Rhinolophus ferrumequinum: one gene and its partners. The protein of the gene in region 4 purifies or fractionates together with the protein of the main gene of each other region. This does not show direct contact. Links are inferred from orthologs where the notes say so. Each region holds a gene or a part of one and is shown on either strand. Other genes may lie near its edges. The genes, in order: HECTD1, POLR3F, POLR1E and KPNA2.

Region 1 (7,692 bases), on a different chromosome or scaffold from region 4:
CCTGCTAAAACAAATGTCAAATAAGGGGCTGAATTGTGATGTACTCAAAGTTTGTCAATAAGAAGAGCTAGTTGAAATAAATGGGCTGCTAACAGATTGTGATTCAGAAATTTTGTTTATAAGGATCTTTACCTTAATAGTAGACTGTTTTAATGAGATTTACAACTAAGAATTATTAATTTATTAATTCATTTTCAATACTTATTCATTCAAAAATGTAGACAATTAAAAATACTTTGTCAATTTAGTGAGTAATACAGCCTTTATTGCCACCTCAGAAAAATTAAGATAATTATACCAAATTTTATGTCAACACCTCAAATATTTTCTATTAATTATCTCAAAATGGTTGTTAAAACAAATATAGAAACAAGTGAGTTTTCATTTACTTATTATTGGAATTTAAAATGGTAGATACAAAATGTAAAATAAACAGTAAAAACCAAATGTATTCAGCATTCAGAAGAATGATTACTCAGCAAGTATCACATAAGAGGAAAAACGTGGCATTAATGGCCAATCTAATAATAAATTCTTTTACAGTTTTGCACAAATTCTACAGTATAACCTTTAAATAAAATTGTTTAAACTCTCCAAACTTCAAAATGTTCCTACTATTCCAAAAAGTATACTATGTGGGTAACATCCAATTTATACCCTCCAAATTGAAATTTACAAATCAATGATTTGTTGTAACAAACATATGATGTCATATTACTTAATACCTACAAAGAAATGGGCAGTTGTAAACATATTTTCATTATCATCTATATTTCCACATCAATTTCTTGGTACAGAAATAGCTACGTTTAAAGAAGGAAAGTGTTTGTATTTTCCCAGTTCGTGACATATTTTGAAAATGAATCAACCAAGGTATGGGTTAAAATAGTACTCCCTACTAAACCCTATTCATTCAACAAACATGTATTTGTGTCATGACAATTATCATTACTCAAGTTACTTCACATACCAATTTTTATTTCTCAGAAAAATGTAAATGCAAAACTGCATAAAGTTAAAAAAAAATTGTAAAACTCCCTAGAAAAAATTCTACACAAACTGAAGTCAGCAAATGGCTGAAAACAAATGTCATTACAGCAACCCCAAAGGAAGATGAAGAAGGGATGTACTTACGTTTCAAAACAACGATCCACGTTGTCAGACATCAAAAGCAGCATGCATAGCTGTTCAAGGGCTATTAGTTGCATGTCCCTTTCATCTCCCTGTCCCATCTGTAGCCACTCCAGTAATGTATCCGGATCCACATCTGCCATGGTTTTTTAAAAGCCTCTTTGCTTAAATTAAAAAAGGGAAAAAGTCCTTTAAATGTCCAGGACTGATCAGCTTGGGTTTAAAATTTTTTCCTTTATATCAGCTAGAACCAAATTTTCGTGATGTACTCCTAGGAATTAGAAAAGACTCATAAGTATGTTTAGATATAGTGCTTAACTAAGTTTTTCAACTGCCCTTATTCCTCAGGTTTAACGTTCATATATCATACTAAATAAAAACCAGTTTTGCACAAGAGTATAAGCTGATTAGGTTGCTGCTTAACTGGAAACCAGAGCTGTCTTTGTCAAAGACAGTCAAACAAGCTTCGGATCCCACTACTGCTATCACTAACGTCTGTGCCAAAAGGCAAAGAACACCTTACTAAAGGTTCTTTTTTTTCCAGCAAACCTCTTCCCCCCTCCTCCACCCAAAACTGATCTTAAGATAAAGGTTAGAGTCAGTATTTTGAGGAGAGTTAAGCAGTTTGATCCCATCCCCCTCCAAATTAAGTTTCTGCATTAAAATTAGCTCTAATTTCACAATTCTGCTGACTTCTCAATTTACTTACTGCTATTCTTAAGATCTCCAAATACAAACGATAATTAGATAGAAAAATCTATCTATGAATAAAGACTTGGTTGATTATTTTGGCAGTTTTAGCAACTGTTCTTCAAAGTTTAAAAAGAAATGCTAAAAGTAAATGCAATGAACTAGCTATGTCCCTCTTTCCCCATCCCCGCAGAATGGAGCAGTTGGTTAAAAATATACACCATATACACAAAACAGAGAAGCAGCCCCAACAGGCAAGTCGTTACCAAAGCTTGTAAACTCCCTGACAAGAGGACAGCTTTAGGTCCCACGTAACCCAGCTGCAGGTGTCTGAATCCAGAGGCGGGTACCAGTGGGCACCCAACGGCGGCGACCAGCAGGATGACCCAACACTCCGGGCCCAGCCGAGCCCCGCGCCGGGAGGCGCAGGCACCGCGCTCCGGTTTCCCCGCACCAAACCCAGCCAAGTTAGCTACCTGTGTCTAGGAGAAGGGGGAAGTTCTGAAGGAGAAAAAGCAAGCCTCCGTGCCCGAGAGGAGGCCGCGGGGCAGGACAGCGGGTCTCCCGGGAGCGGCGCCCTGAACTCCCGAGGCCCGGCGGGTCGTCCCCGGCCTGGCCCGGCAGCGAACCCTTCTGAAGGGCAAGGGGGGGCCGCCTTGGGCTCAGGCTCTCGCAAGCCGGGCCCCGCCGCGGGCAGGGCCAGGGGAGAGAAACAAAGGGGCTAAGCGGGTGAGTCGGCAGCAGCCCACCTGACCTCACTAGGGTCCGGGAGCTCTCGCTCCCGGCCCGTCGCCCGGCATCCCGTATCCTGACCCCCCCAGGCCTGGCCCTTCCGACCGCCCAAGGAGCTCCCGCCTCCCGTTCCCTCAAGCTTACCCGGGCTTGTCGTTCCAAACCACTCCAGTCCAGCTCCAAGCAGGCCGCGGGCAGAGCCAGGCCCGGCCGCGGCCCTCGAGTTCCCAGGAAGCCGCAGGCCGCGCAGGTCGAGCCGGGCAGGCGGCACAGGAAAAGCCGCGCCTCGTCCCTCCCCTTCCTCCGCGGGGACCTGGTGACAGAAAAGCGAGAGGTTCCCTGATGGGAGAAAGCCAGCTCAAGTCCAGTCGCCGGCACGCGGCTCCTCAGGCCCCGCAGCTCAGAGGCCCGCGCGGTGCTGCCAGCAGCGGCGGGGGGAGGCCGCGTCCATCGCGATCCGAGAGGGGGAAGGGAGAGGGTCGGGCGAGAGCTGGGCGGGGATGCTGAGCAGGGCAGCTGAGCTCCGCGGGGGCGGAGCAAATCGGCTCTCCTGGCAGCGACCCGGCTGGCCGCCACGTGGGGCGCTGCGGACACCCGTCGGCCAGCGGCGCTGAGGCGCCAACAGGCAGGACGCGTCGCCGCCACAGCCAAGGCGCTCGGGCCCCCGGGGCCTCGGATTCCCTCGGCTTTATCAGCTGTCGCTTTTCTACCGTACGCCGCGGCGCTTTTACGCTTTGCAGTCGATGCGAGCGCGCTCCCGGCAGCCCGCGCACACTGATGCACGCACGCCCTGCTAGTATTGCACGGCGTCTACACGCTTAACGCGCTGCTGCTGAAGGCCCCGTGCTGCACGGCGAAGCTGCCGCCCAAGTTGTCCTTGCCGAGCCTCCAGCCGGGCGACCTGTACTCCGCCACGCGCTTCCCCTCCACCCCACTGGTCACCCTTCCTCGCGCAAGGAAGTGCATCGCGGGAGGAAAAGCGGCTCCCTTCGGTCCATGGATGCAAACTGCGCCGCAGCTCACGGAAACGAAAACCTGTCACCACAAGCCTGGGAAGTAAATAGTATCGAAATTATCTCCGTTGTACAGATGTGAGGACTGAGGCTCCAAAAAGCATAAATTCAGGCCCAGTGGCGTTCCCAGTAAGCAGCAGCACTGAGAGTGTGCTTTTGACTCCTGCGGTTCGTGTTCCTAAGTATGTCCGTGGTTATTCCCTTCAAACATCTTTCAAACGCATTGAAAATAAAATATGCCCGCTTAAAGGACATAATTGGAGATATTTCGGGAGAAACTAATTGGAAGTATGAATATAGCTTTCTTTCTCTTTTTTTTTTTTTTAAAGATTTTATTGGGGAAGGGGAACAGGACTTTAGTGGGGAACAGTGTGTACTTCCAGGACTTTTTATTGGAGAACAGTAATGTGTTTTTCCCAGGACTCAGCAGCTTCATCAAGTTGTCCTTTCAGGCTTAGTTGTGGAGGGCGCAGCTCAGCTCCGCTCCAGATCCAGTTGCCAGTTGTTAGTTGCAGGGGGCACTTCCCACTATCCCTTGCAGGACTGGAGGAGTTGAACCAGCAACCTTGTGGTTGAGAGTCCACTGGCCCATGTGGGAATCCAGCCTGCAGCCTTTGGATTTAGGAGCACGGAGCTTCAACCACCTGAGCCACCAGGCCGGCCTGCTTTCTTTTTTTAAAATCAAGAAATGAATTCCTTGGTTTGTGAGATAAATAAACCCATGCCAGATACTCCCTACCTTTTCATCTTTTAAACAAAAATGAATATTATTAGATTGTGTTTGAGATGTGCTTCTTTAAGCAATCATAGGGTCTTTAAGCAACATAGGGTCGAAGAACCAGTATTTTGGAAATTACAGATTTGCACTTCAGATATCTATAATCACATGTTCCTGTCTTCAGGTAATGGTCTCTAGGTTTCCTGTTAACAGATCAAGAGAAAAGGGTAGAGGATTCCACTATCTTGTCACAACCACAAAACATGAGAATAATTATTTAGGAGCTATGAATGTGACTTGGAGACGCCAGGAAAATCTTCAAGGAGGAAGTGGCATTCTTTCTGGACCTTGAAGAATGGGTAGAATGTAGACACAGCAAGAGAAGGGAAAGATTACAAGCAAAGCCTGATAAGTTCTGAGATAAAGGAAAGAGGACCTGTGCCCCAAGCAAAGAACCCGCATTAAGCAAAGAGGAGAGAAGGCAAGGGCTAAGGTATGCAGGGCCTTAAATGTGGGGGTGGGGGACGCAAAATTTAGGCTGAAGTAACTAACAAGTTCTGGATAGAACATTGACTGGAAAAATTAGAGTCTTAGAAAGATTGACAGAGCAGGAGTGTCCAGAGTGGCTAAAAGGAGCAACCGAGACAAGGAGATTAGCTGGAATGTTGCTGAAATGCTCCAGTAGTGGAGGGAGGAAGAACTTAGGTATTGACAATAAGAATGGAGAAGAAATAAGTATGAAAAATATTTTCTAAAAATATATCACACCTTAAATGATTAACTTCGGTTTGCTTTTTAACCTACAGGGAGGACTTGAAAGCTAGGAAAATGATGATTCTGTTCACAGAAAATAGAAGAGAAAAAGAGACTACTCTTTACTAAGTTTTAAAGTATATTTTCCTTTGTTCCCTCACCATCTCTATCCCTATTGCCCACTCCCTGCCACCAAAATTAATGACTGTAGTATGCTTTAAAGAAACCTTATCAAAAAAAAATGATGACTTTTATTGTGACTTTATTATTATTATGTTAATATTTTAAATTCAAATATGAGATCCCAAAGTAAAAGCATTAAAGGAAAGGAATAAAGCTCTGGAGAAAGCAAGACCCAGATGAAGGCAACTGACCATACTTAAAGGTATGTCCCAAGAAAACAGCATATGTTTACAAGCTAATGTTTCATCTTGATGTCAAAATATAAGAATAATGGACATTGAGAATTGCTATATGCCAGACACAGTGTAAGGCACAGTAAATTACAGACTTCAATAAACTATAAAAGTCTAGGGGAAGGTAACACACTTCCCGCCTCTGCCTCTATGAGAGTACTTATCACACAATATTGTCAGGGACATTGGGAGCATCAAGGAGATAATGATGTGCTCGCCACGGCAGCACATATACTAAAAAAGGAGGTGATGGCATCTCAGAAGCCTTCAAAATGGTATGTGAACTAGATCTCAGATGTTAGATGTTGGAGCTGGCCAGACAGACTTAGGAAGACCATGTGGAGAAGCATAGAGGTGTGAAAGGAACTCCTCTTGGGGAAGCAGAGGGAACAGGCTGCCTTTTGGCCCCACTTTCATGAAGGATCTTCAGTATATATAGTCACTGGGATCTATTCACAGGTTCAAAAAGGAAAAACCAAAATTGAATCTTGTAGTATAGAACAAACATATTTGTATCTAAGATTTGAAAGGAAATATCAAATGCATTCTTAAAATTCACTTACTTCAACTGTGGCATCCCAGTAATAATATTTGGGAAAGTTAGGTGAAGGATATATATATATTATATATATATATATATATATATATATATTATATATATATATATATATATGAAATCTATTTATTTTTGCAACGTTTTCAATGTATAAACTCATTCAAAATTAGAAGTTAAAGAACAAGAAAGTAAATATAGCTTGAGATGATTAATTCTTAGTACTGTCTTCTAGGAAGCACTTTTCTAAAGACTCAAAATGATGTATTTAAAAAGAAATTCTAGAATTTTGACAATTTCTTACAAGATTCACTATATGCACCATATATCACTTGGTAGTGAACACAAAAACAAACAGTTGTAAAAGTTATGCACTTTATATTCCTAGTTAAGTTATTTTTGCTCCAACACTAAAAACCCTTCTATAATTTACTAACTCTTCGTAAACATCCTATACCCTTTGTCCTGAGGAAAATTATTCTTGCCAATAAATAAAAAGGTTGTTACTCTTTATTAGCAAACGTGGGTTCATAACAATTACATTATAAGCTTAGTTAAAAGAAAAATAGGATGGGGGTTGGGAGACTAGGTGAAAAAGGTGAAGGAATTAAGAAGTACAAATTGGCAGTTATAAAATAGCCATAGGATGTAAAGTACAGCATAGGGAATATAGTCAATAATATTGTAATAACTATGTATGGTGCCACGTGGGTGCTAAGTTTGTTGGGGATCACTTTGTAAGTTATACAGAAGTATAACCACTGTGCTATATACCTGAAACTAATAGAATATTGCATGTTAACTGTAATCGAAAAATTTAAAAAAAAAAAATTTAAATGAATAAAAGGAAAGTAGGATCTGATTTACAAAAATTCATTCAACAGAAAATTTTCAAGAACTTGTATAAATATATTTTCTTATTACAGATTTCAAAACTTTTTGGTAGACATGTTTTCAATACAGTTTAGCTGTATATGTATTAGGGGAAATAATTACATAATAATTGTATAATTTTGAAGTTTTCTGGATATTTGCTGGTAAGGATTTTTTGTTAATTGTTTTTGTTTTGTTTTTTTCAAATTTTATTGGGGAATATTGGGGGACAGTGTGTTTCTCCAGGGCCCATCAGCTCCAAGTAGTTGTCCTTCAATCTAGTTGTGGAGGGCGCAGCTCAGCTCCAAGTCCAGTCACCGTTTGCAATCTTGAAATTGAACCGGCAATCTTGTAGTTGAGAGTTTGCGCTCTAACCAACTGAGCCATCCAGCCGCCCATAACTGTTTTTATCTATGATAATTGTATAATGGTTATATTTTCTGAAAAAGAGTTTTCTTCACTTAGAGAAGCATACCAAAATATTTACAGATGAAATGATATAATAATTAGAATTTTCTTCAAAATAATTTGAGGGGTCAGTGGATAGAGTATACCTGAAAGACAATTGGCCATATAGTAAGGACAACTGTTGAATCTGGGTCATAGGTACTTGGGGGTTCATTATACTAGTATGTATACTTTTGTGTGTGTTTGAAAAATCTCATAAAAATGGTTTTTAAAAAATATATGGGAGTCTAAGAGGATAAAGGAAGCAATACTGATATACTGGTTTTGAGACAATCTGATAGAAATGTTTCTTAATTTTAAATTATGACATCATTTAACCTAATATCTATGCAATCAAAGATCGCT
Region 2 (7,270 bases), on a different chromosome or scaffold from region 4:
GATGGGCTCTTAGAGAAGAAGCTCTGGCCCAACCTGGGGATTTAGGGAGGCTTCCTGGAGACAACAGCAGAGCAGAGTCTTGAAGGACAATGAGGAGTTAGTCTGCGAATGGGAAGAAGGGCTTTCTAAGCAGGGAAGAGAGCATCAGCAAAGGACCTGAGACATGAAACAGCATGATGTGGCAGGGAACCAAAAACAATCTGTTCCCTCTGAAATGATGGAAGATGAGGTGGGTGAGGTTGGTAGGGGCTCAGTGTAGTCAGCCCATGAGTTTGGAATTGCATCTCTAGTGTTGAGAGGGTTTTTGTTGAGAAAGTGACTTGGTTAGATCTGTATCTAAAGACAGATCAGGCTGGCTGCTCTGAGATAGATGGAGCCGGGAAAACTACTTAGGATGCACTGTAATAGTCCAGGTAAAAGCCAAGAGCCTAAACACATGAAGGGGTAATAGGAATGGAAATAGGTGGACAAATTTGAGACTTGTTTAAGAGCTAAAATCAGTAATACTTTGTGATTTATTAATAATTACTCCTTGCTTAAAATTCTTCAATAGCTCCACTACTACCTATTGCCTATAGTCAATCGAACTGGCAGTAGGTGGGGTCACTAAGGTGATGAAAGAGAGGGAGTTGCTGAGGACGATTTTCAGACAGAAAAGAAAAGGCTGAAAGGGTGGTCAGAGGACAAAAGCATTTTCCATTTCCACAACCTCCCAGCATCCCTTCCTCTATCCTCCTAGATTTGAAGACCTTCACCATGGTGAACTACCTAGAAATCACCATCAGTCCTTTTTTCCTTATGCTAAAACTGGGGTCGGCAATCTGGCCCACTGCTTGTTTTCATAAGTAAAGTTTTATTGGAACCCAGCCACACCCATTTGTTTATATGGGTGGCCCATAGCTACTTTCCTGAAGAGTTGAGTACTTATGACAGAAACCATATAGTTTACAAAGCCTAAAACATATACTATCTGGCGCTTTATAGAAAAAGTTTGCCACCCTGAGCTAGAAGGTTGGAAAAAACAGTTTGACAGAAAGTTCACCTGTCCTCACACCTCCATATCCAGAGCCCTTGGATCCAGAAATCCAACAAAGCTGGTAGATTTAAAAAGCAAATAAGCTTTCAGATGAGTCCTCAGTATAGAAATCTTTTACCTAGTTGCTACTAAGACAAACTGAAATGCTCTCAAGATATGGGAGTTTTGATGATGGGTGAAAGGAAGTAGGAGAAATAGGTAAGAGCATGTGGCACACTAACAGGTGGGGTGTTTTTAGACAGTAGAGAATGACATTAGGGCCCCAGGAAGAGATAAGAGCAGGTATACGAAATATATCCCCCTGATATATAAGAGCAGGTATAACAGAAGAGGTAAGAGCAGGTACAAGGGCTTCATTGATAATCCCATCTAAAGTGTCACTCGGGGCTGAGCCTGCACTTCCACCCAAAGGCCCAGCACTGTTGATATTCAACGGGACTCATTCTCGCTTCTAGAAATGCTCACTGAGATTGTAAGAGTGATACCCTAATGAGCTGGCTTTGTGATGACTCACAGAAAAATCAGGGGAATGTATTTCGTATGGAAAGGCCCAATATCAGCAGTAGGAAGAAAACAGAAGATGAGAACAGACTATGCCTATGTGCCTTTAGGTATCTTAGCGACAATTATGTTAACAAATACAACAGTGAAAACAAAATACATTTATTTCATTCATCTTGTAAAATAATGCATAATTACTTCTTCTTTGCTCAGTTCTGGCAGTCTGAGTTGTTTCCTGGTTTAGAATCTTATCAGTCACAACCTTCTAACGTTTTCATGACTAATAACAGAAGTAAAGACAATCGTAATATATAAGTAATTACATGAACTAGTTGGATTCATCTTACCATGGACAAAAGTCTATTGATGGCCACTGCCCGCTGCTGGGCTTCTATATGAGGCATTTCATTCTGAATTACTTGGTCTGTGATTCCATGAGGGAACTGGTGACATAATTCTATAATCCTACGAACAAAGATATTAATGATATTACTCATGTTTTTACTTATTTCAAGAGACAGTGGGGGCAAATACTAGCAGAACAATTTGAAATTGTGTCCTTTTTACATTTGGTACATAGTCTGGCTTCTATGATGGTTCTAAATCAACGCATGTTAGAAATTGAGGAAGATGTTTTTGAAATACGTTTACATTATTATTGTTATTTAAGGAAAATATGTTTTCCTCATTAACATAATCTTTAAATTAGAATAAAAGTCAAATGAAAACACAGAAAAAGATATTAACGCTGCGGCTTCAATTTTTTAAGATGCAATAAGTATGACAAAATTAAGATACAGCATTGGGCAGGTATAAGTCTGCAAGCAGGAGTCATATCAGACATTTCTGGTGGGAAGCCAAAATTGGTTATAACAATTCACAATTGGGGCGTGGTTTTGGAATTATTCCCACCAAACAAAAATAAGCCCATTATCTTCCCTCTGTCACAGGATCATCATGTATGTTATTCATAAGTTTGAGGAAGTTGGGATCTTTTCAAACTATGTGGTAAACCTAAAAATAGCAGTGCACTCATAGAGAATATAACATCAGGAATATAACATTTGACGTGCCCTAAAATCTTGACTTAAATACTGCCCCGAAATTATTTTTGGATTAATGTTGCTTCGTAATCACTAATGCACTCTAACTTCGCCCAAACGTTCTGTCCTGACAGTTCCCATAGCGATAAAGGCAATCCTGTATGAGAACACGTATCCTCAAGCACCACGCAGAAACACCGAGTTTTCTCTGAGCGTCGACCACCTTAACGCAGGAAGGAAGCGCATCATCACAACTTCCGAACAGCATCCGGACACCGACACAAAGTTGCAAAGTGTCAAGCTCGTTTTAAACTTATTAAGAGTTCTGCTGTCCACAGGTGGAAGGTGTTCAGATCCGGTAATCCCCTTCCTGGACGCTCACTGAACTTGCTCCAGCATCTACTGACTGTCCCGAAAAAAGTCTGCCCAAATGACCGCCTGCCTGCGTGGGCTCCCGAGCCGGGAATCGAATCTCACTGATTTACCTGTTTTCTATTTCGACTGGATCTGCGTCAGGCGGCTGCATTTTCACCTTCACTTCAGCCATGGGACGCAGTTCCCACCTCGGGGGAAAAGAGACGCACGGAGCAGCCAGATAGCGAGCTGGGGATCCAGAAAATCGGCAAAGACAGCTTCAGGCGCGGGCGATGGGTCTTTTTCCTCGTGTCGCAGACGGTCCTTCCTTGCCTGTGGGCTTGAGGTGCCCAAGCCACGCCTGTTACTCGTCACTGGCTGGAGCCGCTACACCTTATTCTTTTTTACCAGAATGTCAGTGTCTGTCAGACGAACGAGCCTGGTTCCATCATTCTGAATTGGAACGCCACTTTTTAGCACTTTCCAATCTCTGTGAAGGCATATTCTTGGATGCCTATGTTGAAACCTTAGGAAAGGAGATTCAGGCGGATTCCCCTCTCCTAGCCAAACAGCAGGGCGGATCTGGTTGCTAGGAAGCCGGATTTCCGCCAATCATCTGCCCAACTCAGTGGGCGGGGCGCAGCTCCCCGCGTCTGTGGTAACCCAGACCGTGGCAAAGGAGAAGGCAAGAGGCAGTGAGAGGTGGGTTTACTGGCTGCCAGTGGCGGAGGCGCCTTAGGGGTTACAATCTGGGTTCCGGTAGCCAGAGGAGGAGGAGGGCATTCCTCACTCCAGCCGAAAGGAAGCAGGTGTTTCTGGCTGCTCCTGATGGGCGGGTACGCAGACCAGACGGGGCTCCAGATTTGGATCCGGTGGCAAGCAGGCAATGTTGTTGGGGTTTGGAGGTGCTGTTTATCCTACCCTCCATTTGGGCCTAGCGGATTGGTCTCCTTCTTGATCCTCTTCGCTTGGGGCCCATTCGCCGTCCCAGCCTCCCAAGGGCAGCTCCTAGTTGCCGCGCGCGAATTACTTCCTCCTCAACTATTTTTACTTTGAACTGATTTTGAACTACTTTAACTGCCTCTCACATAAATGGAAAGTGAGGACTGACAAGCCTCCCTAAACCAGCCACCCTTCTGTAGGGGCTAGTGCTCTATCAGTATTTGCAGTTCAAATTCTTGGCCTCTGACCTGGAGCTATATAACCAGGCATTAAGATCACTCCTTAAATTTAGTTATCCCAGTTTTGGGAATACAGCCTGTGACAAAACTCACGCCACAAGAGCATCGTTATTTGGAATTGTAACAACCAAAACTAAAAAGAAACTAGTTATATGTTAAATGCCCAACCACATATTGATAAATAAGATTATATGAGTAGGTGGAAAATTGTAAATAACAGAAAAATTGCAAATAATAATAGAGCGAGGGTGCAATAACTAGACTGTAAAAAAAGAATGAATATATAGATTATAAATGAGCAAGACATGTATTCATAATTTGAAAAGGCTATTTAGAGATGTAAATGGTTGCTGTATTAAGGTGAGGGTTATTTTTTTCCCTCTGAATCCTTTAGGTATTAAAAATTATGACACCTCTCAGGAAAAAGATCAGTAAGATCTCCACACTCATACTTAATTATTTATAAATATAGTAGATGGAGTGGGAGACTTTTGTTACCTGTTGCTCACTGTTTATGTTGGTACCAACTTCCTTTCTGCTGAGGTGTGATAATCTGCCATCCTCCTAAAGTTTCTTTGCAGGTAACAAATGTAAGTACTTGGCTACAACTGCAGGACCCTGAACCTGGAGCTTTCTCAAAGGACTTGGCTCTAAATGAACATACTACATGCTACTGTGTTTCACCGAAAATAAGACCTAGCCGGACCAGCTCTAATGAGTCTTTTGGGACAAAAATTAATGTAAAACCTGGTCTTATTTTACTATAAGACTGAGTCTTATATAATATAATACCTTATATATAATATAATATAACATGATAAGATATGATATGATATAATATAACTTAATATATAATATAATATAATACTGGGTCATATATTAATTTTTGCTCCAAAAGATGCATTAGAGCTGATGGTCCGGCTAGATCTTATTTTTGGGAAAACAGGGTACATACAGTGTTACTTCTGTTTTTCCTGTGTGATGACTTGCCCTGAAGCCAAGAGAGGTGGGAGATAAATAAGAGTCAGGAAAGTGTAATAATAATGATCCAGAGGAAGCTCTGATGAGATCATTAGTGAAGGTCTCTGTTCTAATATATTCATTTAATTTGGCCATTTAAAATAATTCCATTCCCCCATCCCATTCATCCATGCTCTTTTCACAGAAGTAAGTATTTAGATAATCAAAACAACACACAAGATCTCAACAGCAAAAATACAGCTGAAACAATAATTATTTCAATTAAAAATTGAATAATATTTGTAGGTGATATATTAACAGTATTCTCTTTAGCTTTTTCTAGTTTTACTATATTTTTGTAAACAAGGTGTTTCTCTTCAGCTTTTGTGTTGAAATATAGGTGGCCATTGGAATTTATTTTCATACACGTTTTAAAAATATAAGCAGGGAAAATGACTGCTGGTTCAGTGTGTGTTCCTCAGATCATACCACTGCGAGTGCCTCAGCCTGGAAAAGCCAACCATGAAATTGATAACAATACACTTTTGGAAATGAAATCAGGTAAGAATCAAAAGTACTCGAAATCGTTTAAAATAATATTGCCATACTCTTTATGTTCATCTGGTTGTTGATTTACCTCTTTGCGTGTTTTCTATAATCAGGACCTTTGGAAGTTTTTAAAACTTCCAAAATTTGAAACAGTGTTACTTGGTGGTTTGTAGAGTGGTGTGTATTTAGAGTGAAACAATTAGCTTTGATCACCCTTTCATTTGTATAGGTCCATAGTTGCAGCAATGCCTTGACTCACCTTCACCAAGATAAGATGCCTGGTACCATCCCAATAATGAGGATGCTCATTATTTTGCTGGGATAATAAATTTGATGTACTTATACAGGCTTTCCAGTCAGACAGGTTGGAAAATGAATCCTGGCTTTGACAACTTCTGGTGATCTTTGGTACATTACGTAGCCTTTCTGAGTCTCAGTTTGCTCATTGTAAGTTAGTGATAATATCTACTATTTAGAACCATTGTAAGGATTAAATGAGTTGATGTGAGGTACACAGGGTCTAGCATATAGTAATGACAAAATATATCTTAGCTATTATTACAGAAATAAATCAGTGAATGAATTCCCTACTAATGCCAGAAGTGTGTGTGTGTGTGTGTGTGTGTGTGTGTGTACGTGTACACACACACCTTTATGTACTTATACATAACATAAGAAGGAAGGAAAGTTTTATAGATAAAGCATGAATAAATACTTGTTTGAAACAGACTTTGAGATTCCAGTTACATACTTTAATAACTGATATGTGTGAAAATTATTTATCTCTAGTTATGTTACAACCACTATGCTTCGTAGACTGAGAGTTCAAACTAAGAATATATTACATTATACCCTGTCTCCTTTATCTTAAAAGCTAATATTTTTTAAAATTCTCAGAGCAAAATACAAATTTTCATATATTTGCCCATGATTCTTAGATGTTGGATGGTTATTGACAAATGATGATATGAATGAGAGGGTATCCAAATTCTTTAACATTTAAAATGTCTAATAAATAAGAGGTTCTACAATTCAGTGACAAACAGAATAATAACCCAATGGAAAAATGGACAAAGGATGTGAAAGGACATTTTATAGGAAAGGAAATATAAATGTCTTTTAATCATATGAGAATACAGTTCTAACTACCCCTTTATCTGCTTGCTGAGCAGACCTTATCCCCTGCTTTCTTCACTCCATTGCATTTAATCACCAACTCAACAGAAAATATATAATTTTTGCTTTTTGTATGTCTACTTTACTGTTTGTATGTCCTTCCTAAAACAGAAGCTCCATTAGAACAAGGAGTTACTGGTGTATTCCCCGTGCCTACAATAGTATCTGCCACACAATATGTACTTGGTAAATATTTGTTGAAGGAATGAATGAATCACTCAAAATGTAAGAAATGTAAGTTAAAACTGCAAGATACCTCTTTTTTTAATGTAGGAGATTGGCAAAAACAAAAGAAAAATTGATAACACACGATATGGATGAGATTGTTTGTAAACAGTCACTTTGATGCATTGCTGGTAGCAGTGTAAATTGTTTCAGCATCCATGGAGGGAAGTTTGGCAATATTAACCAAAATTACAAATACACATATCTTTAACTCAACAGTACTAGTTCTACATATTTTACAGATG
Region 3 (7,223 bases), on a different chromosome or scaffold from region 4:
CCTGAAAGTTATAGACCATTCTGGCTGGGCAATCTTCATCGTACCCCAGGGGAGACCGGGGGTCAGTGAAGTTAAAATTGCCCAAAGTCAGACAGTCAATCAGAGGCAGAGCTGCATAGAAACCCTGGAGCCTTTGACACTACCAAATCCTTTCCTTGTAGTTACTCCTAAAGCAAACTTCTGGCAAGCTTTGGCCTACTGATCATACACTCCATATTAGTGAAGACAGTTGCCTTTTGGAAACAAGACAGTTAAAGCTAAGTCCTGGAAATGTAATGTGCTGTATGGTGACTATAGTTAACAATACTGTATTGTATATTTGAAAGTTGCTAAGAGAGAAAATCTTAAAAGTTCTCATTACAAGAAAAAAAAATGTGTAACTATGTGTGGTGATGGATGTTAACCTGATTTATTTTGGTGACCATTTCATTACACACATATCTATCTGATCATTATGTTGTACACCTGAAACTAATACAATGTTATATGTCCCAATTTAAAAAATTTTTTAAAGAATGTTACAAACGAATGAGGTTTTCTTCAGGAAATTCAACAAATGTAAGTCAACTTTCTTTTCAAGAATGTCTACAGGCTGCTGTGACGGCCCCTGCTTCTGGGAACACAGGGACTTGGTAAACCTCTCCAGATTTCCCCCACTTCCCCTAAAGTAAACATCCCCTAAAGTAGACACAGAACAGCAGTCAGTACCAGGGCTGCTACCACCACTCCCCTCCCCATCCAGCTGTCCCTTCCCCTGTCCCTACCTGCACAGAGTGTTGCATTTGAGGGCTCCAGTCCCAAAATTGTTTCCCACGTAGCAAAGTCTGTCTGTTTCAGCTGCCTAAAATGCACAGGGGGAAAAGCTCCATTGCAACCAATGTTGAAAGGTAGTAAGCATCTAATCTCCCTTTTCCACATTTGCAAAAAGCTTTAGAATTCAAACTACAGAAGATCAGAACTACAGAGCCTCTAGGAGACATCCAGCCTCACTATCTCTAAGTGAATCTGGGATGCCCCTGGGGGAAAGGCAAGAGGACTTTTGAAAGGGAAGCTGCAGATTGTGCAGGCTTCTAGCTGGTCTGAAAAGTTTTTGGGGAAGCTGCACCGCAGAACTTGGAAGACAGACCCTGGACTCTCCACACTTACAGGCATTAATAAACTGATTCTGCAGGCAACCTCCTGGGTTCACAGTCCATACCCTTCTTGAACCTCTTTGCCCACCTCTCTCATGACTGTTCCTTATATGCTCATAGGACCATGGAAATGGCTGATTCACTTCTCAACCACAGCCAAGCTTTACTGCTTCACAATGTTTGTCCTCACTATTCTCTTCACTTGGAATACTAAAACCTCAGCTGTCAAACCCTCCTCCATCCTTCCGAGCTCAGCTCCATGTGCCCTCCCAGGGAGACACTCTAGCAAGCAGAGATGTTGATGGAGCTCACTGTGCCTTGTACTCTCCCTCCCTCGGCCCTAAGCTTTGTCTGTTTGTATGAGTGTCCCTCACATCCAGCTCTCAACTCTCTAGAGTTCTCTGCACTGTACTTGCAATGTTTCTGTAAGTTTCTGTAAGCACTGAACTTGCAATGTTCTCTGTCTTTGAGATTGGGTAAAATCTCAAAGACCTTTCTAGAGCAGTAGTAGTTCTCAACCCAGGGAATTCCCACTCGTGGGGACATTTGGTAATATCTGACATTCAGGTTGTCACAACTAGGAGGTACTACTGGTATTTAGTGAGTGGAGGCTAGGGAAGCTGCTAAACATCCTGTGATGCACAGGGCTGCCCCCACAAGAAAGAATTATCTGGGTCAAAATGTCAATAGCAGCAAGGTTAAGAAACCCTGCTCTAGAATACGAGCTCCCGCAGAGTGTGGCCAGGTGGATGCTCAATAAATGCTGTTGAATGAACAAATGAATGAAAGGCTATCGCTTCACCCAAAGTATGGAACTGAATGGAGCCTGTCCCCACACCCCTACCTGCTGGAGCTCAGAAGAATTCTTCAAAGGCTCATTTGCGATTTCCCCCTTTTCTCCTCTCACTCCCTCCCACATCGACCCACACTCAAGGGGTCCTGAGGCCTGCAGAGTGGAGGCAACTGGCCACTGCAGCACTTACCAGGATCCGCTGGGTCCTCTTCCTGGGGTTTGTGGAGTCATTGTTCTTGTACAAGGTAAAGCGCATGTTGCCTGGATCCCGCAGCTTCCCATTGGAGAACTGGACTGTAAGATCACATTCCCAGACGGGATGAGATCAGAAGGACCCACAAGGTATGGTGGGAGGAACTGGACTGTCAGTGGGAGGGAGTGATTGGAAAAATGAACATGGCAAGTAAGCCCAGGTCCTGACTTGAAGTGGGACTGAAGAAGGTCCTGGTCCACTTGGGAAGAGAGGATGAGGAGGTGAGGGGGTCCTGGGGAGGGGCGGCGGCAGTAAGGAATAACTAGGGGGATGGGGCCAACTGAGGAGGCCTCATCCAGACCTAGAGAGCGATGGAATCCCTGCCCAGGGGAGAGAATGAAATGGAACAGGACTAAGACCTCGGGAGTGAGAGGATGACAGGATCCTGGGTACAGTCCTGGGGAGGAAGTGACAGGACGTCCTCAGCAGGGAGGGAGGTAGCGGCAGAAACGTGGTGGGATGACAAAGGAGCCCTGGCCGAGTTCCAAGTAGTGGTGGACAAAGGAGGGTGGTGGGGAGTGGCAGGGGCTCTTGGCGCGGCTGGGAAAGGGGTCCGGCGCGGGGGGGGGGGGGGGCGGGAGGGCTGTAAAGGTACAGAAACGGGAGCGGAAGTTATGAGGAACAGTTCCAGCTCCGCAGTCTTTACCCAGTACAGCTCTCTGGCTCTCGTCGGGCTCCCCACAGTACAGCCACTTCGCACTCGACAACACTTCCGCCGCCATCTCGTCTCTACGGCCGCCAAGCCCGGGAGTTAAGACAGTACGAGCCACCGGCGGGTCGCCACACACTCCGAGGTAGCACAGCGGGCCGGAACAGGCGTGGCCCACAAGACACCGCTCCTTCCGCGCTCCCGCCCCCAGCGCGGAGGCGCACCAATCCCCGCCTGCCTGTCGCCCCGCCTCTCCGCACAGAGGCGTGGTCTCTACACTGTGCCCCGCCTCATCCTTGGACGGCCTCTCGGAGGCGCTCCACCGGATTGGCTCAGCGCTCCGCCTGGGCAAGAAGGGTTGTGTGGGACAAGGGTCCGAAGTTCCTAAAAGTCGTGCTGCTTTTGCCTAACAGTCATGTGGGTTTTCTTCCTGCTCAGCACGATCTACGTAGAGTATGATCTATCTCCCCTATGGTGACAAATATATACTACCAGACCTGAAAGGCCAACTTCAAATTTAGAATTCTCTGAGAGGCACTCCTTGAGCCCCAGCTAAATGTGGCAGCTGGCAAGAGAGCAGTTGGTCTCTAGGGCCTCCATCCACACGTGGACATCCAGTCCTTAAATCCAAGTTTCGTCCACAACCATGCAAACAGCTTCTAGCCCTGATCATTCCTCAGGCCCAGGCGTGCATACACCTGTGGTCCAACCAACCCAGGGAGGATGGACCCTGGGAGAGGCTCAGCAGGCTCAAGAGCATTTGGACAGGGATTGATTCTCCGGTGGACTAGAAGGCGGGAAGTTGGATCTGATGGGTAAGTCCCATAGTCCCTGAAGATTCAACCCTCCACATGGGCAGCTATCAAAGCAGAAGGGCCGAAGCAGAATCCCTAAGGATAGACCCAGGAGGAGGCCCCTTTTGCCCTGTCAAAGGCAAGTACTGTTGCAGGGCAAGAACTCGGATTGACTCATCTCTGCTCTGCAATCTCCTTTAAGATTCATCTCCTCCAGACACACACCCAGGATATTTTGAATAACCCTAACACTGAGCTGCCCTTTGAGTACTTGTAATGCTTTTCCCAATCTCAAACTTACAGGAACATTGCAAGTACAGTGCAAAGAATTTGTTTTTGACCTGAACCTTTCAGAGTAAGTTGTCAACCTGATGACTCATCACCCCTGAAGACTATAGCATTTCCTTAGAAGGGGACATTCCCTAAATAACTACATACAGCCATCAAAATCAGGAAATTAATATTGATATGTGACTACCATATAATCATCATACTCCATTTAAGTTCACCAACTATCTTAATATTTTTATAGCAAAAAGATCCTGTCCAGACTCACATGTTGCATTTAGCTGTCATAGCTCTTTAGTCTCCTTCAACCTATTAATAGAACAGTTCCTTACTCTACTTTGACTTTCATAATTTGACAATTTAAAAGATTACAGGCTAGTTATTTTGTAGAATGTTGCTCAGTCTCGGTTTGTCTAATGTTTCCAAGTGATTAGTTTCAGGTTATGCATTGTTGGCAGGAATATCACAAACATGAGACTGTTCTAACTGTATCCTATCAGGTGGCACACAATTTCAATTTGTCCCATTACTGTTTATATTAACTTTGATCACTTAATTAAAGTGGTATCAATCAGGCTTTACTACTGTAATGTTATTCTTTCTCCTTTGTAATTAATAAGTATTTTGTATGCAGGTACTTAGAGACTAAGTAAATCGTATCCTGTTCATCATACTTCTGATTTATTCACTCATTAATTATATCAGTATGAATTTATGGGTTCCTACTTTATTCAGTAGATTAGAATATGCTACTATCATTTATTTTTATTTTTATGTTCAAACTTTCCCAGATTAGGCAGTGGGAACCCCATCAAGCTGGTTTCTGAATCATCACTAATCCTAGGAGCCTAGCATAGGGACTGGAACTCAAGATACTTAATAATATTGGTTAAAATGAACTTGCATTGTGTTTACACATGGTAGATTCTCTGTATGTGTTGACTGGTTGAATGAAATATGAACAGTTAGATCAAAGTTAAGGGGTGACAAAGAAGACAGGAGGGTCTACAAGGAGTCAATTGTAGTTCATGAGGGAAGTGTCCTGGCCCCTCCTGATAAAGGGACATATTGTATGACCTTGCTTCTCAAAGTGTGGTCCTCAGGCCAGCAGCATCACCTGGGAACTTGTTAGCAGTGCAGAATCTCCTGCCCTATCAAGTCATCTGAATCAGAATCTGCACTTTTAACAAGATCCCTAGGTGATTTCTGTGCACTTTATGCTTGGGAAGCACTCTTGTACAAGACTGTTTCCCTTTCAAGGTGCATCTTTACCAGTCAGACAAAGTCTGTTCAAGTCCTCAGAATTGGCTGTTTATAGCTGGGTGAAAGAGCCAAGAGTACCACATATGGAGTTAGAGCAAAGACTCCCAGAATTACCACAGGCAAGAATTCAAAGTGACAGAGATTCTATCTGGGGAAGGAAAGTGTTAATGACAGGATGGTTGAGACCGGGACTATGTTGTTTAGTTATTTCGCAATGATTCAAAACACATATACACCATATACATATAAATACACATATACATTAAGTGGGACAGGACAATATTTGGTCACTCAGTCAGTGACCAAAATACAAAAAGTTATAGTGACCTCTTCTAAATTCGAATCAGGGTAATCACGGGCAGAATTTACCATAAATGTTTGTTTGTAAATTTGGTTTGGAAATTCATCGACTTCTGGAGTTGTCTCTTAGCATCATTTTTCAGAAGAGGAAAACTTGATATATATTTTGAAAGTAAGGGATGAGGCAGAATCCTCCTTTCCTGGGGTAATATCTCCATCTGCTGGCATTTCAAGATATCGCTAATGAAGGCCTGAAAAGGCAGACAAGATCCCACAGTATGTTTGTAGCCACTCATTGTGTACTGTCAAAAATGTTTCTTCTTCTATTTCATCTTTTCTCTTCCTTTCTTCTGCCTCTGCCTCAATTTTTTATCCCTTTGTTTCTTTTTCTGTGTTTGTCTCACTCTTCTGTTCTCCATTCTGTTTTTCTCTTCCTTCATATTTCTGATGTAGATTCTGTTTGTACACCTATAGACATGGACGACTCATTTCTTATAAGGCAGACTTTTCACCTTGGCTAGGTTTTTCCTTACATGGAGCTGAAGCTGCCTTCTGTAGCTTCTACCTGTGGTGCCAGTTCTGCTTCTCTAGGGCCACACAGAACACGACCAACTCCTCTGCCCTGAGCCCTTCAAAAGCCTGACTACTCTGACCATACTTTCCACTGACCTGCTCCTTTGCTCCTCAGCAACTCTTTCCAGCCCCTCAGCTATTTCACACACCAGAGTTCCTAGGTCTGTCTTCATCTGGTCACCACTTTGGGACATACATTAGTACATCTGGATCTTTTTCAAACTGGAGCACCACATGGATCAATACTCCAACTCTGGGCTGGGTAACACAGAATAAAGAGGACCCATCTCCTCCCTTCTGCTATTTGCCATGCCTCTCTTAATGAAACCAATATGTGAATTTATTCTTAGCATCTACACTGTTCAGTTAAGTTGTTTAGGGTTGATAAACCAAAATTCTTGATTTTGCTTCTGCTAAGTCACATTATCCCTGCATTTTTTATTTTTTTTATTTTTTTAAGGAGGGCGCACACACTGGCCCATGCGGGCATTGAACCAGCAACCTTGGTGTTATTAGCACCACGCTCTAACCAATTGAGCTAACTGGTAACCCCATCCCTGATTTTTTTTAAAAAACAAAGATTCAGAGCTTTATGTGAGGCCTAAGTTTAATCGTGTTAGATTTAGCTTACTCAGATTTTTTTATTTTTCCCAACATTTTTTAGATTTACAATAATTATCAAAGCAATTTTGATGTCCAATATTGGGAAAAATACAGAAAAATATAAAGAATGCAATTATAGTAACCCATGATCCTTTCCCCACCTAGAGGCAAACATTGTTAACATTCTGTTTTATTCCTTTCTAGATTTGTCTCTCTGCATATCTGCATATGTTTATATAACTGATACATTATTGTATTCAATTGTGTATCCTCCTTTTAAAAATTTTTAAATAATCTTGTAAGCATTTTCTCAAATCACACGATAGTCCATTGAATGTTGCCACAGGGTTTATACATCCAATGCTTTAGTTGCTCACTTGGGCTATTCCCAATTTTCTCACTGTTACATGCAACATTACATGAACTTTTTAAGCATAAAAACTTTGTTTGGGTTTTTTTGGATAAATTCTTTGGTTGGGATCCTAGGATTTGAATTAATGAGTCAAAGAGCATGAACATTTTTTTTAAATCTTAATACACTGTCAAATTTGACTCCAAAAATTTTCAGATCTTT
Region 4 (7,060 bases):
GATTTTAGGCATGACAGAAAATTTTAGTTTCACCAAAGGAAGATTCTAACGAACACAGGACTATGGCTGGCTTAACCATTACCCACACCATCTATCTCTTTCCAACCAAAAAATCTAAAAAGGCTCAGTTCTTAGGTTACCCATGTATAACAGACAAGACTTACCTAGCAGCTTGAGTAGCTTGGAGCTGGCTTTCCAAATTGTTGCTATTTATGCCTTTGACAATATCCTCAACAGACCAATTTACAGTGCCCTACAAAAACAATGGAATTATCCTTTGTAAGATTAAATACAAACAATAAAATTCCTATTTGCCATTGTGAAGACATTTTAAGGTTTATAATGAATTACTAAATGTGTATTAGCCCTATATTTAACTTTGCCTGTTAATTAAATATTATTTTATATGTTGAACAGTTCTCAAACTTGGTGTCATGACTTACTGGAGTCTCAAGTTACAGAGTATCCCAGCATTTTGTCACTAAAAAAGGTGACTGTGAACAATTTAAAAAATTACAGCAGTCTGAAGGTTATTCCGACATTAATCTCAATCACTTGTATTCAGATACGCTTTTAGGGAACAAGGGATGGAGTTATAAATAATGTGCTGGGGATTTTCTTATCTAACCTTGTAATCGACACATTCCCAAGTATAGCGCAGCAAAGATGTTTTATGTTGTGATCACAGTAGAAAGGTTTGAGAAACAATGCTATAGTTAACTTGAGAAGATGGGATTTAAGTAGAATACTCTAGAAATAGCACATAAGTAGTATTCAATTTTGAATGATAGAATGGGGAGCACTAAAAGAAAGCATAATGTAAAACAATTAAGTGCCCAATTATCTTTGAAAGACGAGATAACTTTGAAAATCTAAGCTGGATCAAATTTACAAAAACAGCCTTCGAAAATAGCGATTTAAAACCATCAAAGTTGTTAAGCTAAGAAAGAATATGTCTAAAGCAGTATTTTAGGAAAATTTTTAGGTAGATAGTATGTGGCATAGAATGAAAAGGAAAATAAATTAGAAGAATACTAACAGTATTTCAAGAAGAAAAAGACATGAACAAAACTGGTGACAAGTACAAACAATAGAGAATAACAAAAGGTAGAAATAATCCAGAAAGCAATTGGTTCCCGACACACTTTCAGTGGTATTGGAATGGCCAGGTCAAGGTACCGAGCTGGCAGCTGTAAACGCAGGGAAACTTGAAGATCAAAACTACAGAAGACCTTGGAATCAGCTTCAACAGATTATGAAGATGGGTAGGAAAGAAAACCCATCAGAATTACTGATTCAGAGCAAAAAGGAAACCTTCACAGATTTTATAGGTAGAACCATAAAGGTAGGAATATTTTCAAACAATTATAAGCTAAAACATATTTACCTGGTTGTTGCGATTTTCCTGCAGTGGAGAAGTAGCATCATCAGGAAACGAGCTCACATTTCTCCTTTTCAGCATCTGGTCATCTTTCTTAGCTTTCCTCAGCTCTACATTAACTTCTATTCGGCGCCGCCTCATTTCCTTGGGAAAAGATAACATACCACTTCACCTAACATTTCAGTTTTTGTTAGAAAGTGAGGGCATTTTTTCCAAATTCCCTCAGAGTTTTGACCCCTTCCCAAATAATTTTCCATTCAAAAAATACTATACAAAAGTAACAGAAAGTACTCACTGTACTGTCTTTTCCCTTGTTCTTGAATCTGTTAAGCCGGGCAGCTGGTGAATTAGCATTCTCGTTGGTGGACATCGTTATGAGACAAAGGGAGAAAGCTATAAGATGGGGAGAGAAAAAAAATGTCCCTTTTATCATTTTGCTTTGTCAGTAAGAAAAGCATTAATAGGTATTTCACACTTTTTTCATACTAATTCTCCAAAATCTTTTGTGTACTTTAACCTTACAGCATTCAAAATTCGGATTAGCCACAAGCCTTTCCTAATATACTGGACAGTGTGGCTCTAGACTCCACTATATAGAGTCTGTAAATAGTTAATTGAAGACAAAGTAGGCGAACTGAGCTTACGGTCAATATCTATGTCCTAGGCGCAAATACATTCAGATTCTCTGGAGGCTCTCTCTATTGTCTTTAAATGGCCAAAATAGGCACATTCTCCACACTTGAAAAATAAAAGAAAAATTTGGTTCATTATTATTACATTATGGAGTCTCCCGTAACATTTCTTGTCAACACTGAAAATTTGCGACACAATTCTGAATCTCGATTACATTTTCATTTCCAGGAATTTCGAGTAAATGCACTTAATTAGGCTGACATTATTCAGACTAAGATACTTATGAGCAATCTCCAAAAGGTAACAAAAGTAAAAGAGCGCCTTACAATTTATCTTTATTCCCTTATGTTCGTTTACGAAATTGACACAGCCAACCCAAGGCCTACGTGTTGAGATAGTTTCTCCAACTGCCACCTCCATCTCTATTCCCTTCCCCTGCCCCCCACCCCGGGGAAGATACAGCCGGTAACCGCCACAGGAGGGGCCAGAGGTACTGGGCGCACTCCGGGACTTTGGGAATACCAGCACGATCGCTAACCAACTGAGCTAATCGGCCGCCCCCTCCCGGGACTTTGACCCTCCGGCCTCACTCTTGTTTTCCGAGCCCCGATGCGCAAAGGATCTTGATGAAACTCGCCGAGTTTCGGCGGCCTAAAGCCCAAGCACTTACTCACTTCGCGGAACAGCCCTTTCGTCAACAAACGACGCCCCAGAGGCTTAGTCAACCAAGGAGGCCAAAGCCAGGCCGGGCGTGTACCCGGAGCCTCGCCTCCCGCCACCCGTAAGCAGAACGCGGCCTGCAGGTCAGCCGTTACCGCTCGGGCCGGGCTGGGACCTGAGTTCGTACCTACACAGCCGGCTCAGGCTTCCACAGGAGACGGCGCAGGGGAGCACAGGCTGCGGGTCCGCTACTCGGCAACGAACACCACGGATCAGCCAGACGACAGTGTGGCTCGAGCAGCCGGCCGGCGCGATTTAAATTTCCCGGTGGCCCCGCATTCTGATTGGCTGGTTCGAGTCTATGATGTGCGTCCATTGGTGGATTTAAAAAACACGTTGCAGCGGGGGTCGTACGGCCTAGCCGTAAAGAGGATAGCATCGCGAGATGAGGGAGCGGCCGGGCGATCCCAGAGCGCCTAGCAGTTTGGAGTGGAAAGACTTCAAATCCCGGCATGCAGCACGAAGGACGGGTTCTCAGCCCAGCCTTGGCCTGAGACTGTGGCCTTTGAAAGGATTTGTGCTTTTGAAGTTCTTGGTCGTTTCCCTGATTAACCAAGTACTACAAATGATTCCCAAAATCATGTCCTTCACAAATGTTTACATAGAAACATATTGCTATGCATATTTTCCCTGATAGGACAGAAGAAACTTGGCAGTGGTTTCTGGCCGTTATGGAGTTACGAAGTAGAGGCATATGGCACATTTGCGTGGCTTAAAAATTTTTTTAAAAAAACTTGCGTCATAAAAGACTGCATAGAAACCACAAATATGGTAACGAAAGGTTTATTATGCCTGTTTCTCTAGACACTTTTATTTTTAAATAATTTCAAATACAGAATTGCAAATCTTTACACAGATTTGCCAAATGTTAACATTTTTGCCACATTTGCTATTTGCTGCTGCTGCTGTGTGTGTGTGTGTGTGTGTGTGTGTATCCGTGTTCAAGTTTTGCCAACCGTTCCAGTAATGTTCTATGCTGTATTTTACACATTTCTGAATAAAATGTTTGTATTTTTGCCACGTATATTTTTTAAAGTATCAATGATGGTTATTAGAGCACCGGGATTATGGGCCATTTTGCTCTCTTTATGCAAGTTTTCTGTATTCTAAAAAGGGTATTTTTAGAAAAGTTATATTGCGATTTTTTTTTTTTTTACTATAAATTCAAACATTGAACTTTGTTCATTCTTGTAGGCATTTGTGCCAGCCTCACTCATTGTGTAGCAGCAATGGGATTCATAGGAGGTTGATTTTACTCCCACCTACTCAATCAGCAGAATCCCATCCCTCTAAATGCAAAAATATGAAAGGAATTCACTCCTAAACCAGTCACCCCAGGGTATTCTCTTGACTACTGTGAATGGTTCAGGGGCAGGCATGTGACCTAAATTCATCCAGTTTGGAAGGCTATGCCTTTTGTTTAATGATTGGAGGTGGGAAAGCAGGTGCTGTTTGCTGTTCGGAGCTGAAGGATATAAGTCCTAGAAATTTGACTAGGACAGTTGTAGAGAAACCAGGAAAGCTCTGATCAACAGCCTGCCCTACCTCTGAAGGCTGCAATTATGACTTTGCAATTACGTCATCCAATACACTTCTTTTGTTGTTTCAGCTAAATTGAGTTTTCTTTTGTTTGCAAATATTAAGTACTATATGCCCAGACATATTCTAAGTGTTTTATATATATTAATACATTTAATCCTCACAATTCTGTAAGCTGGTATTATCACCTGTTCCATTTTACAGAAGACTGAATCATAAGTGGTTAAGTAACTTGTCCAAGTTTACACAGCCAATAAAGGCAGAGACAGGACTCAGACCCAGGCTGTCTGGTTCCAGGATCCATGCTCTCAACCACTATTCTGCACTTGTAGCTGAAAACAACCTACAACAGAAATACAGAGTCAAAAGTGAAAGTTGCCTTTGAAATGTACAATGTTGCCCTGGGGAACCATACATCCTCCACTATTAACCACTGTAGTTTGGAGATTCAGGCCTAGGCCAATCAGTATATTCTATACACCACCCCCGCCCCTCACAGCCACACACAGGGATTGGTTTGGTGATGAAGCCTTAACACAGTGACACTGCAATAAAATGTTTACTGAGGCCTTTAAGAGTGACATAACCTCTCTCTGGCACAGGACTGTGCTGTGATCCTGTGCTGTGATGATGTGACACTGAGAATGCAGCTGCTCTGGAGAAGCAAACCCAAATGTGACCAAGTCAGAATTTTTTGTTTTTGTTTTTGTTTTAAGGAGGGCGCAGCTCACAGTGGTCCATGCAGGGATCCAACCCACAACCTCGGTGTTATCAGCACCCCGCTCTAACCAACTGAGCCAACTGGCCACCCCTAAATCTGAATAATCTTAGTTTGTCTCAGTCATTCTTTCAAGTAAACACTGTGTTCCAGTGAAAAAGTAGCTAGTATAGCCTGCAACTCAAACACTGCACCAATGTTTTCCTCCAGAGACCACTGTATTTTGGTATGCAGAAATGATTATGCATATTTCCCATTTGTCACACAAAATATTTACAGCATGTACTCAAGAGTCAAGACGTAATTCAACTGATGATTCTTATACATAGTCCAGGACATTCTTACGTGAAGCTGGTTCCCCCCACCCTGCCATTCCCAGTGCAGGAAGGTGAAAATACCACTGTTACCTGTTTGGTGCCACTGCCTAGATTCACTAAAGTGTCAGTTTTACCTACCATTGCTTCTGCACCATCAGAGCTAAATGATTCATGAATTATTATTTACTAATAATATCTCAGTTTTCATGAAAAACATTTCCAGGGTGACTCGATGACTCGTGGTCCACAGGTTAACAAAACAGTGATATGACACATAGACACCTAAGATTTAAAAGATACACACCAAAATGTTAATAGTGCTTAACTCTGAATGGTAGAATTGTGGTCAGTTTTCTTCATTTGGTTTACCTATATATTACACAGTTTTAATGAACAGGTATTACGTGTCTAAAAAGAAAGTGAAATTTTTTATTTTTAAAACCCCAAATACAGCATCTTTACATGCAACAAGCATAGAGATATTGTGCATGGAACCAGAAAGTCTCCACATCTATCCAAGACCAAGCTTTAGGATGTAAAAGAAACCCATATATTTTTTGTATTATATGTAGGAAACTTGTTATATCCATTTTCCCTTTAATCTGGAGGGAAGGAGGAGATGGGGAGGAAAATAGATGTAGATGAGTGGGGTAAGAAGGGCAGATTTAAAGAAAAGGCTGTTCACCCTGGAATCCCCCAACAGTCCACAGTACGTAATAGGTTATCAAATTAATGAACGTGGAATACGTGCGGGCAAGAAAGAGAGGGAAGTGGCTGTAAGGGATGGGAAGGTTGGGGGACGGGGTTGCGGGAGGACCTTACGCTCTGCTAGTGGTTCTTAAGGCCGGTGGCAGAAGAAGGTCCATGGGAGCTTCGTAAAATGCAGACACCCGGGCTCGCCCAGGTAAAAAGAAATACAACGGGGGGAGTACAGTCATTGGAATTTTGTTTGAAGTTCCCCAGAAACGCCTAATATGCAACGAGAGCAGAGAACCTTCCAAGAACCCAGCAGGCAGGCACAACGCCGCCCGCGTGCGGGCCACGCAGTCCCGGGAAGAGGGGCAGGGGAGCCACGCGCACGCGCGCCGGGGTGGGCCTGCTGTCTGGGTCAAGGATGTATGAAGGCGCAGGCGCGCGCTGCCGCCGCTGGGGGGGTGGCTCCCAAAATACTCACCGCCCGATGCGAGGCTGCGGAGCGCAAGGGCGGGGCGCGATGATGGCATCGCGTAAGGAGACGGTGCGAGAACCCGGATCCTGTGGTGACCCAGTGGCCTAATGGATAAGGCATCAGCCTCCGGAGCTGGGGATTGTGGGTTCGAGTCCCATCTGGGTCGCACGGAGTTTTGTTTTGGTGGAGAGGGAGACGATGATGGGCAGTGAAACAGTAAAGGTAGATTCTGAAATGTGGTTATTTCACGTCTCTAGCGAGCTCGAGAACCATTGTATTTACAGTTAGGAAATGCATCTCCGCGTTTTAAAAACACTACAGTTGGAACTTTGCAAGAGAAAGAGCTAAGATCTGACTCCAAAGAGGAGCATTTTTCTTGCTTAACTTTTACTGACTTTCAAAAGAAAAAAGCCGACCAGACATATTTCTGTCTTCCGTTTCGTACTGTTTCACCATGGCAGCCACACATGGAAAACTTTCTCCCCATTTTTATCCCAAGGGGTGTGTGAGCAGATCCCACTGTGCTGGCTTCAAACATTTTTTTTCCAGTACTAGAGAGAGTTTATAGAAAAGCAGCTGTGCTG

The links.
Region 1: the proteins of KPNA2 (region 4) and HECTD1 purify together in Homo sapiens (affinity purification with mass spectrometry; 3 studies listed by BioGRID, with this or other methods). This does not show direct contact. The link is inferred for Rhinolophus ferrumequinum from reciprocal best matches to the Homo sapiens genes KPNA2 and HECTD1.
Region 2: the proteins of KPNA2 (region 4) and POLR3F purify together in Homo sapiens (co-immunoprecipitation; 3 studies listed by BioGRID and IntAct, with this or other methods). This does not show direct contact. The link is inferred for Rhinolophus ferrumequinum from reciprocal best matches to the Homo sapiens genes KPNA2 and POLR3F.
Region 3: the proteins of KPNA2 (region 4) and POLR1E purify together in Homo sapiens (affinity purification with mass spectrometry; 3 studies listed by BioGRID and IntAct, with this or other methods). This does not show direct contact. The link is inferred for Rhinolophus ferrumequinum from reciprocal best matches to the Homo sapiens genes KPNA2 and POLR1E.

Annotation. Positions count from the first base shown.
Region 1 is NC_046289.1:80,128,513-80,136,204, forward strand, and holds the start of HECTD1 (E3 ubiquitin-protein ligase HECTD1), read right to left. Parts: upstream 3,004-7,692; 5' UTR 2,698-3,003; intron 1,296-2,697; 5' UTR 1,275-1,295; coding exon 1,135-1,274; intron 1-1,134. UniProt on the Homo sapiens protein: E3 ubiquitin-protein ligase which accepts ubiquitin from an E2 ubiquitin-conjugating enzyme in the form of a thioester and then directly transfers the ubiquitin to targeted substrates.
Region 2 is NC_046306.1:38,711,250-38,718,519, reverse strand, and holds the start of POLR3F (DNA-directed RNA polymerase III subunit RPC6), read right to left. Parts: upstream 3,009-7,270; 5' UTR 2,849-3,008; coding exon 2,718-2,848; intron 2,003-2,717; coding exon 1,885-2,002; intron 1-1,884. Other genes in the region: DZANK1 (double zinc ribbon and ankyrin repeat-containing protein 1), read left to right, coding at 5,528-5,636. UniProt on the Homo sapiens protein: DNA-dependent RNA polymerase catalyzes the transcription of DNA into RNA using the four ribonucleoside triphosphates as substrates.
Region 3 is NC_046295.1:53,175,339-53,182,561, reverse strand, and holds the start of POLR1E (DNA-directed RNA polymerase I subunit RPA49), read right to left. Parts: upstream 3,014-7,223; 5' UTR 2,902-3,013; coding exon 2,826-2,901; intron 2,221-2,825; coding exon 2,117-2,220; intron 842-2,116; coding exon 765-841; intron 1-764. UniProt on the Homo sapiens protein: Component of RNA polymerase I (Pol I), a DNA-dependent RNA polymerase which synthesizes ribosomal RNA precursors using the four ribonucleoside triphosphates as substrates.
Region 4 is NC_046304.1:43,076,523-43,083,582, forward strand, and holds the start of KPNA2 (importin subunit alpha-1), read right to left. Parts: upstream 3,020-7,060; 5' UTR 2,862-3,019; intron 2,120-2,861; exon of another isoform or gene 2,026-2,119; intron 1,775-2,025; 5' UTR 1,752-1,774; coding exon 1,677-1,751; intron 1,526-1,676; coding exon 1,388-1,525; intron 254-1,387; coding exon 165-253; intron 1-164.